Xenopus tropicalis: one gene and its partner. The protein of the gene in region 1 purifies or fractionates together with the protein of each later gene. This does not show direct contact. Links are inferred from orthologs where the notes say so. Each region holds a gene or a part of one and is shown in the gene's direction. Other genes may lie near its edges.

Evidence for each region. Proteins that work in one complex are often made in the same cells at the same time.
Region 2: the proteins of klhl15 (region 1) and nudcd3 purify together in Homo sapiens (co-immunoprecipitation; 3 studies listed by BioGRID and IntAct, with this or other methods). This does not show direct contact. The link is inferred for Xenopus tropicalis from reciprocal best matches to the Homo sapiens genes KLHL15 and NUDCD3.

What each region holds. Positions count from the first base shown.
Region 1 is NC_030678.2:43,214,236-43,220,543, reverse strand, and holds the end of klhl15 (kelch-like protein 15), read left to right. Parts: intron 1-4,243; coding exon 4,244-5,353; 3' UTR 5,354-5,601; downstream 5,602-6,308. UniProt on the Homo sapiens protein: Substrate-specific adapter for CUL3 E3 ubiquitin-protein ligase complex.
Region 2 is NC_030679.2:126,201,289-126,207,596, reverse strand, and holds part of nudcd3 (nudC domain-containing protein 3), read left to right. Parts: intron 1-736; coding exon 737-869; intron 870-4,189; coding exon 4,190-4,333; intron 4,334-6,276; coding exon 6,277-6,308.

The sequences.
Region 1 (6,308 bases):
TAGTTGCATGCAATAAATATGAAATAAAAATGTCTTGCTATGATGTGTCCGTTATTAACATGAAATTTCTGTTAAGATTGCCATACATGTCCAGGCAGTATGCCCAGTTCTGATTATACTGCTGAACCATCTGGTCATGTCTGGCACAGTAGGGTTTCATTTTGACAGACCATCCATTTGTGTTTGGTCTGTCCAAGATTTATATATATATATATATTGTCTGGCAGGGCAACATCTTATCATATGAACAGGGCATGTGAAGTGAAATGAGCAATCGCAATACTTGAGAGATGGAGGGGTGTGCACCTGTGCCAAACGTTTAAAATAGTATTTATTCCACATTTATACCAGATCCAGACAGTTGTATCTGTATAACCAAAACTTAGTGATGACTAGAAAAACATCGGATTGCTTTTCTTACCTCAGTTACCGTCTTACCGCAGACAGTTTCCAAAACGACCAGCATAAATAATTATTATTTATAAATTATAATTAAAGCTTTTTTTTAAAAATTACTAATACTGCCCAGAATAAAATACCTGTCTTCTTGCACTCAGTCTCATTTCATTTGTACAGCACAAGCAGCTCATTTCAGCTACTTCCTTGGCTAGCATGAAGCTCTGTTCCTTTATTTTCTAAGCTCTCCTTTATTGACTGTAAAGATGGTGGAAGAGGTGCCTACTGCACATGCCTGATTGCTTTCCATTGGAGCAGAGGCAGACTGACTTTACAGTCACAGAGAGCGGGAGAGCGCAGAAAAGGGTGTGGTGCTTCACACTAGACTAGAAAGGAGCTGAAAGAGCTGCACTTTAGCTGCTTGTAATTTAAAACCCACATGAGACTGAATTCAGAGAGAAAGGTATGCTATCCTGGGCTCAGTTTAGAGACTTTTTAGGGGATTTTAAAGTAAAAAGCTTACGTATACTTTTAATATAAGCAATATATTTGGAGATCAAATATATCCTTTAATCAGCCATGGCTATCTTGCTTATTGGATTTGTTAGGGCTGGGCTTTAGGTGTCAGATATGCTGTTGTGATACCATTACACTGGCAGTGGTTGTTTGCAAGTGATCACTTTACTAGGGTTAATGTATTAATTACTGAAGTATTTGTGTTCCAGAAGAAGGTCACACTGAGCTGTAATATATTTGTGGAACATCATTATGACACTTAAAGCATCCTGTTCTAACATGAAATAGAAAAAGCCATTAGCAGATGGTCAAGTAAAATGAGAGCAAAAATGTAGATTTTTTTAATTTTGTTTCAGTAAAGGAGCCGCTTTGAAGCTTGTGTCACTGCATCAGTGTAAGAAATGATGAACTGCCTTTGCCAGACTTTGCATTTATCAAAGTTCTTTAACTTTTTTTTTTTAAATAAAGAAATTATGATTTTGACATTCAGTTTCTGTTTTCATTATTCCATCACCCATATCCTGATTTATTGGGTGGTTTCAGTAAGTGATCTCACCCATTCTTTAAATGATCAGTAAGACCAACATTCCGTTTTGTATTTAGTTTGTCATATGACCTATATTTACATTCATTCTTTATTTCAATATAAGTTCATTCCTTGAATTTAATTTTGTTTTTCTTTGTGCTTTTGCTATTGGCTCTGCTGCATTTATCCATCTTCTATCTGTTATATCATAAATAATGCATAATTCATTATTGGTCCATATAGCCCTGCCAGAAAAGCTGCAGATATTTATAAATAAAAACATGATTCCTAGAAATGACTTTTCTAATGAACATTATGTGAAAATTCTTTTTAAGGCATTATTTTCACTGACTGGTCGTGGTGGTTCTTACAATCGGTTTTTACTGTAAAATATTGGGTTTTCTTTATTTTTCCTTCACTGCTTTTACCAAGAGAGAGTCTAGTTAAAGAGGGATGTTTTTCTATTTTTAGTGTAGTGTATAGGGTTTACATACTTACTTTTTGTATTATGACACAGGACTGCCACATTCTTTCCCTTGGACTATCCCATTCATCCCTATAGCTGGTTTCTTTTGGTGCTACTTAAAATCTCCTGAAGCCCTGAAACTCATTATCAGGGGCTTTTCAGTAGACTAGTAATCCGTTTTCGCAGCTCCTTTGAAGTTCTTTTGGACTTGAAGTAAGAAGATGGGCTAACGTGAAACTGGCTTCATATTCTTGTTTAGTGCCAGGAATGACAGAAACCATAGGTATTTCTTAATTAAAACAATAGGCAAAAAAGCATGTTCTGCACAAGTAGCTAATGTTAAAAAGGGTGTATACTGTCCCTTTTAAATGCTCCTTTTATAGTAAATTATGCCTTAGTGCAAATTTAAAAAAGAAAGTAACATTTAAGTTTTTATTCACTTTTAACCCCAGTGCTTTCTGTTGTATTATGCTATAGACTATTTATTAGGCTAGTGGGGGCTGTTTGGGACTCTGTGTACTTGAAATGCCAGGGAATGTTTTGAATCCCAGTCCAGACATGCATCCAGCTTTACGTGTGTGTGTGTGTGTGTGTGTGTGTGTGTGTGTGTATATATATGAGGCTACACAAAAGCCCTGGCTGCATTTGGTGCCTGTAGTAGTGTTTGATTTCCTATGGCATACCCAAAGGCACACAAAAGCCTTCTACATGGGAGTAAAAACTCTTCATTCTGTTCTTCTGTATCCTAGAAACAATACTTTTGAAACCCTTTAATGGATGGCATCGCTGGCATAGGCAACCAAATACATGCTCTTGTTTTCACTTGATAGATGGAAAGAAAGTTGAGGTCAATCTGTGTTGTTGCATTGAGATGCCAGAGAAACTGTATGGTTACGATGTATAAAAATTTAATTTCAGTTCAGGTTCTTTATGGTCCTATTAAGCCTGCAAAGCACCAAAACTGGTGGTCGTAGGCTTGAAAATCTAGGTCTTTTGTGAATCAGCTCTTTGGAATAGGGAGTTTGTTGATCTGTTTATTTGAAAGAAGCCATATACCGTACTTGCTTGTGCTGCACATTTGGTAGTGGTAGAATCTATTAAGTGAGCTCTGTCATTGATGTGGGAATTCAGAGTAAATGTATTATAACACTGGCTGCATGATCGCAGTATCCACATGCACTTATTGCCTGTTGTGTTTTATTATATGTTCATAGTTTGAGTAAATGCCGTAACTTCTCATTAATGTACCATGCCTTTTCATTACTACATAATGGAAATGTCTTAACAAGCTGTGCACTCATGTTTTATTAAGGTGTAGTTTCAATAACTCGGAGTCAGATTAACCTCACTCCAGGAGTTTATATGCAAGTTTGCTTGGGTGTGCTAGTCGCTTTAGATATGTTGACTTAATATTGGCAACAATACGGAGAACATCCCATATACAGCGTGGAAAATATACTGCAACCCCATCTGCATTGTAAAGGTTTCCCTAGGCCACTTGCACATCAGTATTGGGTGTAAAAGCTTCCAGTGTTACCGTAAGGCTGGCAAATGATGGATATGGGTTGGCATTGTGTTAACCTGAAAAGCTACGCAGCATGAATGCAGCATGTTTCCAAAGTCTGCACCTATCCATTGGGTGGACATATCCTACTCTGTAGCAGTCTATTTGAGATTAAAGTAATTGTGTATTAGAAATTTGTGATTTGGTTTTTATTAATGGCAAATACAGCTCTCACAAGAAATGGCACTATGTTAATAGTCTCATAGCATCAGGGTTCTGTGTCACTTACACCCCTATGCCACAGAAGTTACATTCCCTGTGAAGCCTTCCAGGCCCTGACTTATGGCAAGCACTGTGCCATGCCCCCTGTTCTGAAGGACTGTGCCATTAGAGTCTGGATGGTTGGCAGTGGGCTGCAAAGGGAGCTGTAAGTGTGTAGCATAGGGCTTGGCACAGCAACTTTGTCAGAAAGGCTTCTAGTGTTACTTTGGAAAGTTACTGTAATACCAAGAAAATCTCTCACATGAGACACATGTTCTTTTCCTTTAAGGGGCTGTGGATTTTCCTGCAGCACTTGAGCTATATAAGACATTTGTCCATCTAATAAATATATATATATATATATATATATATATATATATATATATATTATATATATAATATTATATATATAATATGCTGTTCTTTGGGGTTTTTTTGTGTTCAGGGTCATAAATGTGTTTCTTGTTTTAAAAAAAAGTGTTATGTAGTCGATTGGATAATGTTTATTTTCAAGCTTTGCCACTGAATTGCTAAATTCACATTATGCACCCTGTTTTTGTCTTTTTCCCTCTAGGTGAAAACATCTGAATTCTACCGGTACTCACGGCAGCTGAGGCACGAAGTTGAGCAAGCCCTGAACTACTTCCATAATGTCAGCGAGCAGCCTCTGATGGAAATGAAATCAAACCACATCCGTTCAGCAAAACCCCAGACTGCAGTATTCCGGGGAATGATTGGGCACAGCATGGTTAATAGCAAGATCCTCCTTCTTCATAAGCCTCGTGTGTGGTGGGAGCTTGAAGGACCCCTGGTTCCACTCCGTCCAGACTGCCTTGCCATCGTCAACAATTTTGTTTTCTTGCTGGGGGGAGAGGAACTCGGGCCGGATGGTGAATTTCATGCATCTTCTAAAGTATTCAGATATGATCCACGACAAAACAGCTGGCTGCGAATGGCAGACATGTCAGTACCGCGGTCGGAATTTGCCGTCGGAGTCATTGGTAGATATATTTATGCTGTGGCTGGAAGGACGCGTGATGAAACCTTTTACTCCACAGAGCGATATGATATCATAGAAAACAAATGGGAGTTTGTGGACCCTTACCCTGTCAACAAATATGGCCACGAGGGGACCGTTCTTAATAATAAATTGTTCATCACAGGTGGCATTACATCCTCTTCAACTTCTAAGCAGGTGTGTGTGTTTGACCCAAGCAAAGTGGGAACAGTGGAACAAAGAACCAGAAGAACACAGGTTCTAACAAACTGCTGGGAAAATAAGTGCAAAATGAATTACGCTAGGTGTTTCCACAAGATGATTTCATACAATGGCAAACTGTACGTCTTTGGCGGAGTCTGCGTTATTTTAAGGGCTTCATTTGAATCGCAGGGCTGCCCATCTACGGAAGTTTATGATCCCGATATGGATCAGTGGACTATATTGGCATCTATGCCAATAGGTAGGAGTGGTCATGGAGTAGCTGTGCTAGACAATCAAATCATAGTGCTTGGTGGCCTCTGTTACAATGGGCATTATAGTGATTCCATCTTAACCTTTGACCCAGAGGAGAACAAATGGAAAGAGGATGAGTATCCCAGAATGCCTTGCAAGCTGGATGGTTTACAAGTATGCAGCCTGCATTTTCCAGAATACGTTTTAGAGCATGTGAAACGTTGCACATAAAAATGATCAACTTTTGTTTTTAGCAATTTTTAAAAAAAAAAAAAAATGTCTTAAGCAACTCAGACCTTGTGCTATTCCCATAGCTAAAGGCAGGTTCTCATGACACTGACTACTTGGTTTTCTTTGTTCTCTGAAAGCATTATATGAATCAGGATGCCCATTGTGGACTTGGCAGGCTTGGGGTGGCCGTGCCCAGTCTGGCTAAGTTTTGTTTTTTATTTAAATACATTTTGTCTGTTTTCCAATCACTTTGTCTTTTTATTCCTCTGCAACAAAATCCACTGTTGGTGTCCTGATATACAGGCTGATCATAAAAAATCAAAAAGAAAATATAACATGGAAATAATTGGGTATGTAATGGATGATGGTTTGTCTATTGTGGCATGGTGGGAAGACTGTGGGTAATTTGCAGTAAATCCTGACTGTTTCCACACACATGCCCATATTTAATGACATGTATTTTTGAGCTCTGCATCTCATGAAATAATTAAAGGAGAAGTAAACCCTAAAAATGAATCTTGAATCTAGAAATGCTGCATCTTATATAATGAGCTTATTGCACCAGCCTAAAGGCTCAGCATCTCTATAGTAGCAATAATTCAGTCCTTCAGAGAGGAGAAGCTAAATTAAGTCTGTCATAGAAGTTGAAATGCTGATAATAATTGCACTGGTTTCTGAGCTGCAATGTAATGAGGATCTGAATTATTTACTAATTGGCCTTGTATTGTATATTTTATAATAGATATATATAATATATATATATATATATATATATGAGAGCGAATAAATTACCCTCTATTGTAAAATATAGGGATATTATAAGTCACCAAGGAGTTCTATGACCATATAAAGGCCCGAGGGCTGAGTGCTTTTAGACAGGTCATGGAACACCAAGGTGACTTGTAATAGAAATTACATCACTAAACTCCGATTATAAGGATATAATTTACAGTTT
Region 2 (6,308 bases), on another chromosome or scaffold:
TCCCTTTTCATAGTCATTCCTCTTCTTCTTTTTTTTTTATCATCTGGATCTGTCTGCACAGCATAGATGGTCTCCCTGAAGCCTACCAGAGATTGTTGAACTACTACATCCCTTTGATCATCATTAACTTCTGTAGGCTTGTATTTTGCCCGTTCCTACTCTCCATCGTTGCCCTCTTCTTCATTAAAGGAACAGTAACAGCAAAAAATTAAAGAGTTTTAAAGTAAATGAAATATAATGTACTGTTGCCCTGCACTGGTAAAAGTTGTGTGTTTGCTACAGTAACTCTACTATAGGCTATATATAATAAGCTGGTGTAGGCCCGGGGGCAGCCATTCAAGCTGGAAAAAAGGAGAAAGGGCACAGGTTACATAGCAGATAACGGATAAGCTCTGTAGAATACAATAGTGTTTTATCTGTTATCTGCCTGTGCCTTTTCTCTTTTGAACAGCTTCCCCCATGGCTACACAGCTGCATTCTTTATATAAACCATAGTAGTGTTTCAGAGGCAAACACACCAGTTGTACCATCGCAGGGCAGCAGTACATTATATTGGAATTTCTTTTATACACTTGAATTTTTTGGTGTTACTGTTCCTTTAATGTTTATAGCTTGAGAACTCCCTTATCCTCTTTGAGTTATTGCAATTTTTTTTCTATGTTAGATCATTTGGTTTTTGGAAATGATTAAACCCCAACTCTTATATATAAGTATATGTATATTTGCATCCATTCAGGGAACAAGAAGACTACCAAGCTGACCCTGACAGTTACAATGGAGCCATAAGAAAGAATTATGTTTGGTCTCAGGATTACACAGATGTGGAAATTAAAGTTCCAGTGCCTAAATCTGTAATAAAAGGTCGGCAGGTAAGCAACACCATATTTATTGAGTAACTTGTGATATACAGGCGGGCAGATGTAGTTTTATTACAGAAAACTGAGAAGAGACAAGTCCCAAAGACTTGTGTCCTAAAGGGGGCAGTGTAAGGCAATGTATGGTTATGATGCTAACTGGCAAGGTGTTTGCCTTATAGAGCCATTTTCCCAGCAGAGGGTGACAGAGATCAATACATTGAAGGATCTAGAAACTGCTTTGGGGAGGGAAGTAAATAGAGTGGTATGCCGCAGTGTGTAACTGTGTAATTCTGCATGTCTGGCATATAGTTTATCACAGTAAATATTAAAAACATATACCAGGTATGAAATCCATTATACAGAAAAATCTGAAAAACGATTACCAAAACCTTCCCAAACATCCTGCTGGATAATAGATTCCATACCTGTACAGTCTTTTATCAGACAGTAATGTGTTATATGATTATATCATTTTCCCATGTGAAAGACTGGAATCTGTCATTTGTAAACAATAAGACTAAACTGTGCAGCTGTAATGCCAATTTATTTCCCAGTATGGGTGGTAGTACAAGTGAGAGAAAGTATACAGATGCTGCTACAGCGTTAGGGTGAAGACACACCGAGCTACTAGTAGCAGCTACTTGTCACGGCTGCTAAAATAGACAGTGCTGATCATTTACTGGTAATTGTCTCTATGTGTGTTTTAGCAGAGGCACTTCTCAGTATTGTCTATGGCATGGTATTTTCTGGAGTTAAGTAGCCATGAAAAAGTAGCTGCTACTAGTAGGTCTGTGTGTTTTTATCCTTGTGTATTTCATGCTACTATTCTGGGCAGCCCCAGGTGGTGTGATAGAGAACTTCGCTGGGCAGGATCATATTGGGCCAGCAGGATACTGGGACAGAACCTTATGGGCCCCTTCGAGAGACCTCTGCTGCTGGGGTGTGGGGCTCTTAATGTAGCGGTGGCCCCCTGGTGGAACCCAGACACGCCACTCATGCCTGCCTCTGTCCTTAGGATCATATGTGACCTGTTCCCGATGCTAAAGCTAGGGACGACCTCCTGCCATCAAATGGATTAGTGGCAAAAAACAGGGCAAGCTCAATGCAAAGGCAATACTTCAGCAACTAATAAAAAAAAACTGTCTTAGGATATCACTGACTTCATTAAAGTCAAAATTATTTTTAAGATGAACTTTCCATTTAAATGGGAGAATATTTAAGAGGTTACAAAGGATATCGATACCCATGAAAACTATTTTAAAAATACATATTGATATTTTAAGAAAACTTTTAATAAAAAGAAAGGCATTTTAGTAAATAGAAAAATAGGAACTATCTCACGTATGAAGATACACCTATCTGCAATGTAGATGTGTTCACATCCGTCACAGTGTACTTACGTGTAACATAAATACCAACATACATAAATAACCTCACAATTTGTCATGAATGTCATGACAATAGTTGTGGTAGGGACAGAGAACCCTGGGGAGATATGTTTGTATGCATATTTATATTTATTTATATAGTGCTGCTTGTATAGCAGGGAAAATAAGTATTGAACATGTTTTTCTTAGTAAATATATTTCTAATGGGGCTATTGACATGAAATTTACACCAGATGTCTGTAACAACCAAAGTAATCCACATGTACAAAGAAATCAAAACAAATAAGTCCATACATTATGTGTAGTAAAGTGAAATGACACAGGGAATAAGTATTAAACACGCTGAACACTGAAATGTATTTAATACTTAGTAGAAAAGCCTTTGTTGGGAATGACGGATTAAGGCGCCTCCTGTAGGAGAAACTAGTGGCGTGTATTGTTCAGGTGGGACTTTGGCCCATTCTGCCACACAAACTGTGTTCAAATCTTGAAGGTTCCAGGGGCCTCTTCTATGAACTCTGATCTTCAGTTCCTTCCATAGATTTTCAGTTGGATTCAAGTTGGTTGATTGACTGGGTAATTCTAGCAGCTTTATTTTCTTTCTCTGAAACCAACTGAGAGTTTCCTTGGCTGTGTGTTTGGGATCATTGTCTTGCTGAAATGTCCAGCCTCGTTTCATCTTCATCATCCTGGTGGATGGCAGCAGATTCTATAATTATAGAATTATATGAAGTCTGCCAGTACCATATGCTAAAAAACATCCTTACACCATGATGCTCCCATTACAAATTTGTAATGAATGTATATTGGAACATTGCTTAGAATTATTATTATTATTATTGTTATTATTGTTATTATTAGGCAAACATTATTTTTGGGGGTTTTTTTCTGTGTTTGCATAATGAAAAAATTATAATGCCAAGCAACATCCAAACATAAATTTGTATTTTTAAAGTTACTTGTAACTATAATTGATATTAAGAACAGTGGGTTTTATCCCTTTCTATGGAGGTTCTGTTATCTTTGCATATTAATTTAAATGAATTGTAACACCAAAAATTGTGTTTAAAATGTAATGTACTTTTGCCCTGCACTGGTAAACCTAGTGTGTTGGCTTGAGAAACAATACTATAGTATATATAAATAAGCTGATGTGTAGCCATAGGGCCAGCCAAGCTGGAAAAAGGAGAAAAGGCACAGGTTACATAGCAGATAACAGATAAGCTCTGTAAAATATAATGGTGTTTTACAGAGCTTATCTGTTATCTGCTAAATGACCTGTGCCATTTAGCCCTATTTCAGTTTGAATGGCTATTCCTGTGGCTACACAGCAGCTATATTTACATAAACTATAGTAGGGTAGGGGCAAACACAGGGCAACAGTACATTATATTTGAATTACTTTGATACACTTTAATTTTTTTGCATTACTGTTTCTTTAAAACCACAGAACACTATTAATGGCTGTATATTGAAAAGAGAATATACAGCCGTGTTCATTTTCAATTTAATTATGGCCAGTTAACAGAGTTAAAACAAGTGACTGTGAGTGGGCAATACATTTGCTTTAGCATGGAACTTTGACCAAATAAAACCTGGGTTCACATTATTATCTCATATTACAGCCCCCAACAATGAGCTTATAAACTGTACATAGATAATAATAGGATGTCCTATCCAACCACAGATATCATGGGGATTAAGAAGGAGCTCTGCTTATGGAATCAGGTTGGGAACAAGCTGCATATTATTGTTTACTAACTCATTGCACAGTATCACTGTGCTTAGCTGCTGACTTGCATTGCACAAAATTACCTTTTCCAAAATGGCCCCCATTCGGTATCTTCTGTGATACCTGTGCTACTGTTGCTGTATTGAGTAAAGGACAGAGCACCTTTGATTCTAATGGGCGTATGACTCCCTTGTCTGCACCCTCTTCCTCAGGTGTCAGTGGACCTGCGCAGTAGCTGTATTCGTGTGGCGGTGAGAGAAGGAGGAGGGGAACGTGTTCTGGTGGAGGGAAGCTTTACTCACAAAATAAATGCAGAGACCTCTCTCTGGAGTCTGGAACCTGGAAAGTGTATTGTGGTAAGACTCTTTAATAAGATACTGAATCTGACTTGTGTGCAGCTTGTTAAGGCATATATAATCACTATGAATAATCAGGATCTTTTATTTCCTTTGAGACTGGTGTCAATCATGAGCTGAATTATTCACGTTCCCATGTGTTCTTCCATGCCACTCACTTGCCATTTTTTTAGGTCAGTTGTAGAGGTGGGTGCCTTGCTAGGTGACAGTAATTAATTTTGTTATACAGAATAAGCCCTCTGTTACTGCCATCAGCATGGTCCCACCATGCACCCTGCATATAGATCACATGGGCCATGTCTGAGAGACCCACAACCTGTGGTTTAATCTTCAGTTATTATCAGCTTATTGAGACTTAGCAGGACCATACTCCCAATAGAACTCCTAAATAATTTCTACACTTAGATCAATAGTCAGCTTGGCCATACTCCTTCCATTCATCTCACCACTTAATAAGAACAAGTTGCTGGCCAGCTCCTTGGTTACTACCCACTCCTCTAAACTTTGTGGTTATAGGTGGGTGTATAGCAGTTTTTAAAGAAAAATGAACTTATACATTATAAATACACTAAAGCGTTTGTTTTCTCTCTTATTGCATATTTAAAGTTTCCTATTCTTGGTACATCTGGCATTTGGGTGCTTTATGGTTCTGCCATTAAATTTTACTCTCCCTGCTAGTTTTCTTTTGGAAACATATTTGATCTCATGGATTTTGTTATTAATAATGATACAAGTTTGCATCTGTATTCCTTCCATACTGTATTAATAACTACTTCTCTGGTTTATGTAGTATTCAATTTGTATATATTCAACTTGTATCCTATTTCTGATTCACGGGTGTTTATTCAAGTTTATTTGCATTGACTCAAAGTTCCCCTAAACGCCTTATCCCTGTCTTGCTTTATGGCTAAGATATTAGATATTTTTAATTCTATGAGTGTCCATTGAGCTCCTAAGCTCTCTGAATAAACATTGTATAGCATTTCCGTGCTCCCCATATTTCATTTTCAGAAACTTCTCTTGCATCTTTCATCCTTCCAATGTAGTTTGTGTGTAGTCATATGGTAGATTCCACCAAATTTTCATTCACTCCCTTATCATGACACATCTTGATTTGCTGCAGTCCCCTGCTGTCTGGTTTTTCACTCTGCAGGCTGTCTGCTTTACTGTCTACAATAAATCCTGCTGCAAAGCTTATTCATCTTGCTAGTTGTTCCTCCTCCCCTGACAGTGCCTCAAGAGTCCTTCTAGAATTATATCTAAATAAACCCAATGCCTACCCAAATTCTTTACATTCCAGTAAATCACCACTTCATGAGTTTATGTTCATCCCATGATCTGCTTCTTTTACAACCTTTCTCCATTATGCCTTCAAGACTTCTTCAGGGGCTCTACGTCTCTCTTTTTCCCTTTGTGCATTGTAATACTTGCCTCCACATTTCACCCATTGCTTTCCTAAATGGGACTATAAAACGCAGGATGTTGGTATGCAGCTAACAGTTCTGCTTCAGGGTCCAAAATTGTCTCATCAGTCCTGCATTCTTCCCCTTTTTGTTCATTAATAATCCATATGCAAGTTTGCAACAAACCTATTATCATTATTCTTAATAAAGCGCCAACAAATTGAGCAGGGCTGTTACATCCTTCACATGAGTCCCTGCCCCAGTGGAACTTACAGTATTAGATCCCTATCATATTCACACACTATGGGCAGTTTTACCAGGAGCCATTAACCTGCCTGTTTGGAGTGTGGAGAAAACTACCCAGGGGAAACCCATACATACACGGGAAAATATACAAACACATAGGTGATGTTGCTCATGAACCTTAATTCTCTAGGCTGCCAATTAACAAAAGTGCTGCAACCCCTCCATGTATCATTCAGAACGTGATGAAACTTTGTTAGTACATTGTATTTAAAGTGTAGTGGGAACTCTCCACAGATCAGCTTGAGTAAGTGTGGCGAGGTTTGGTG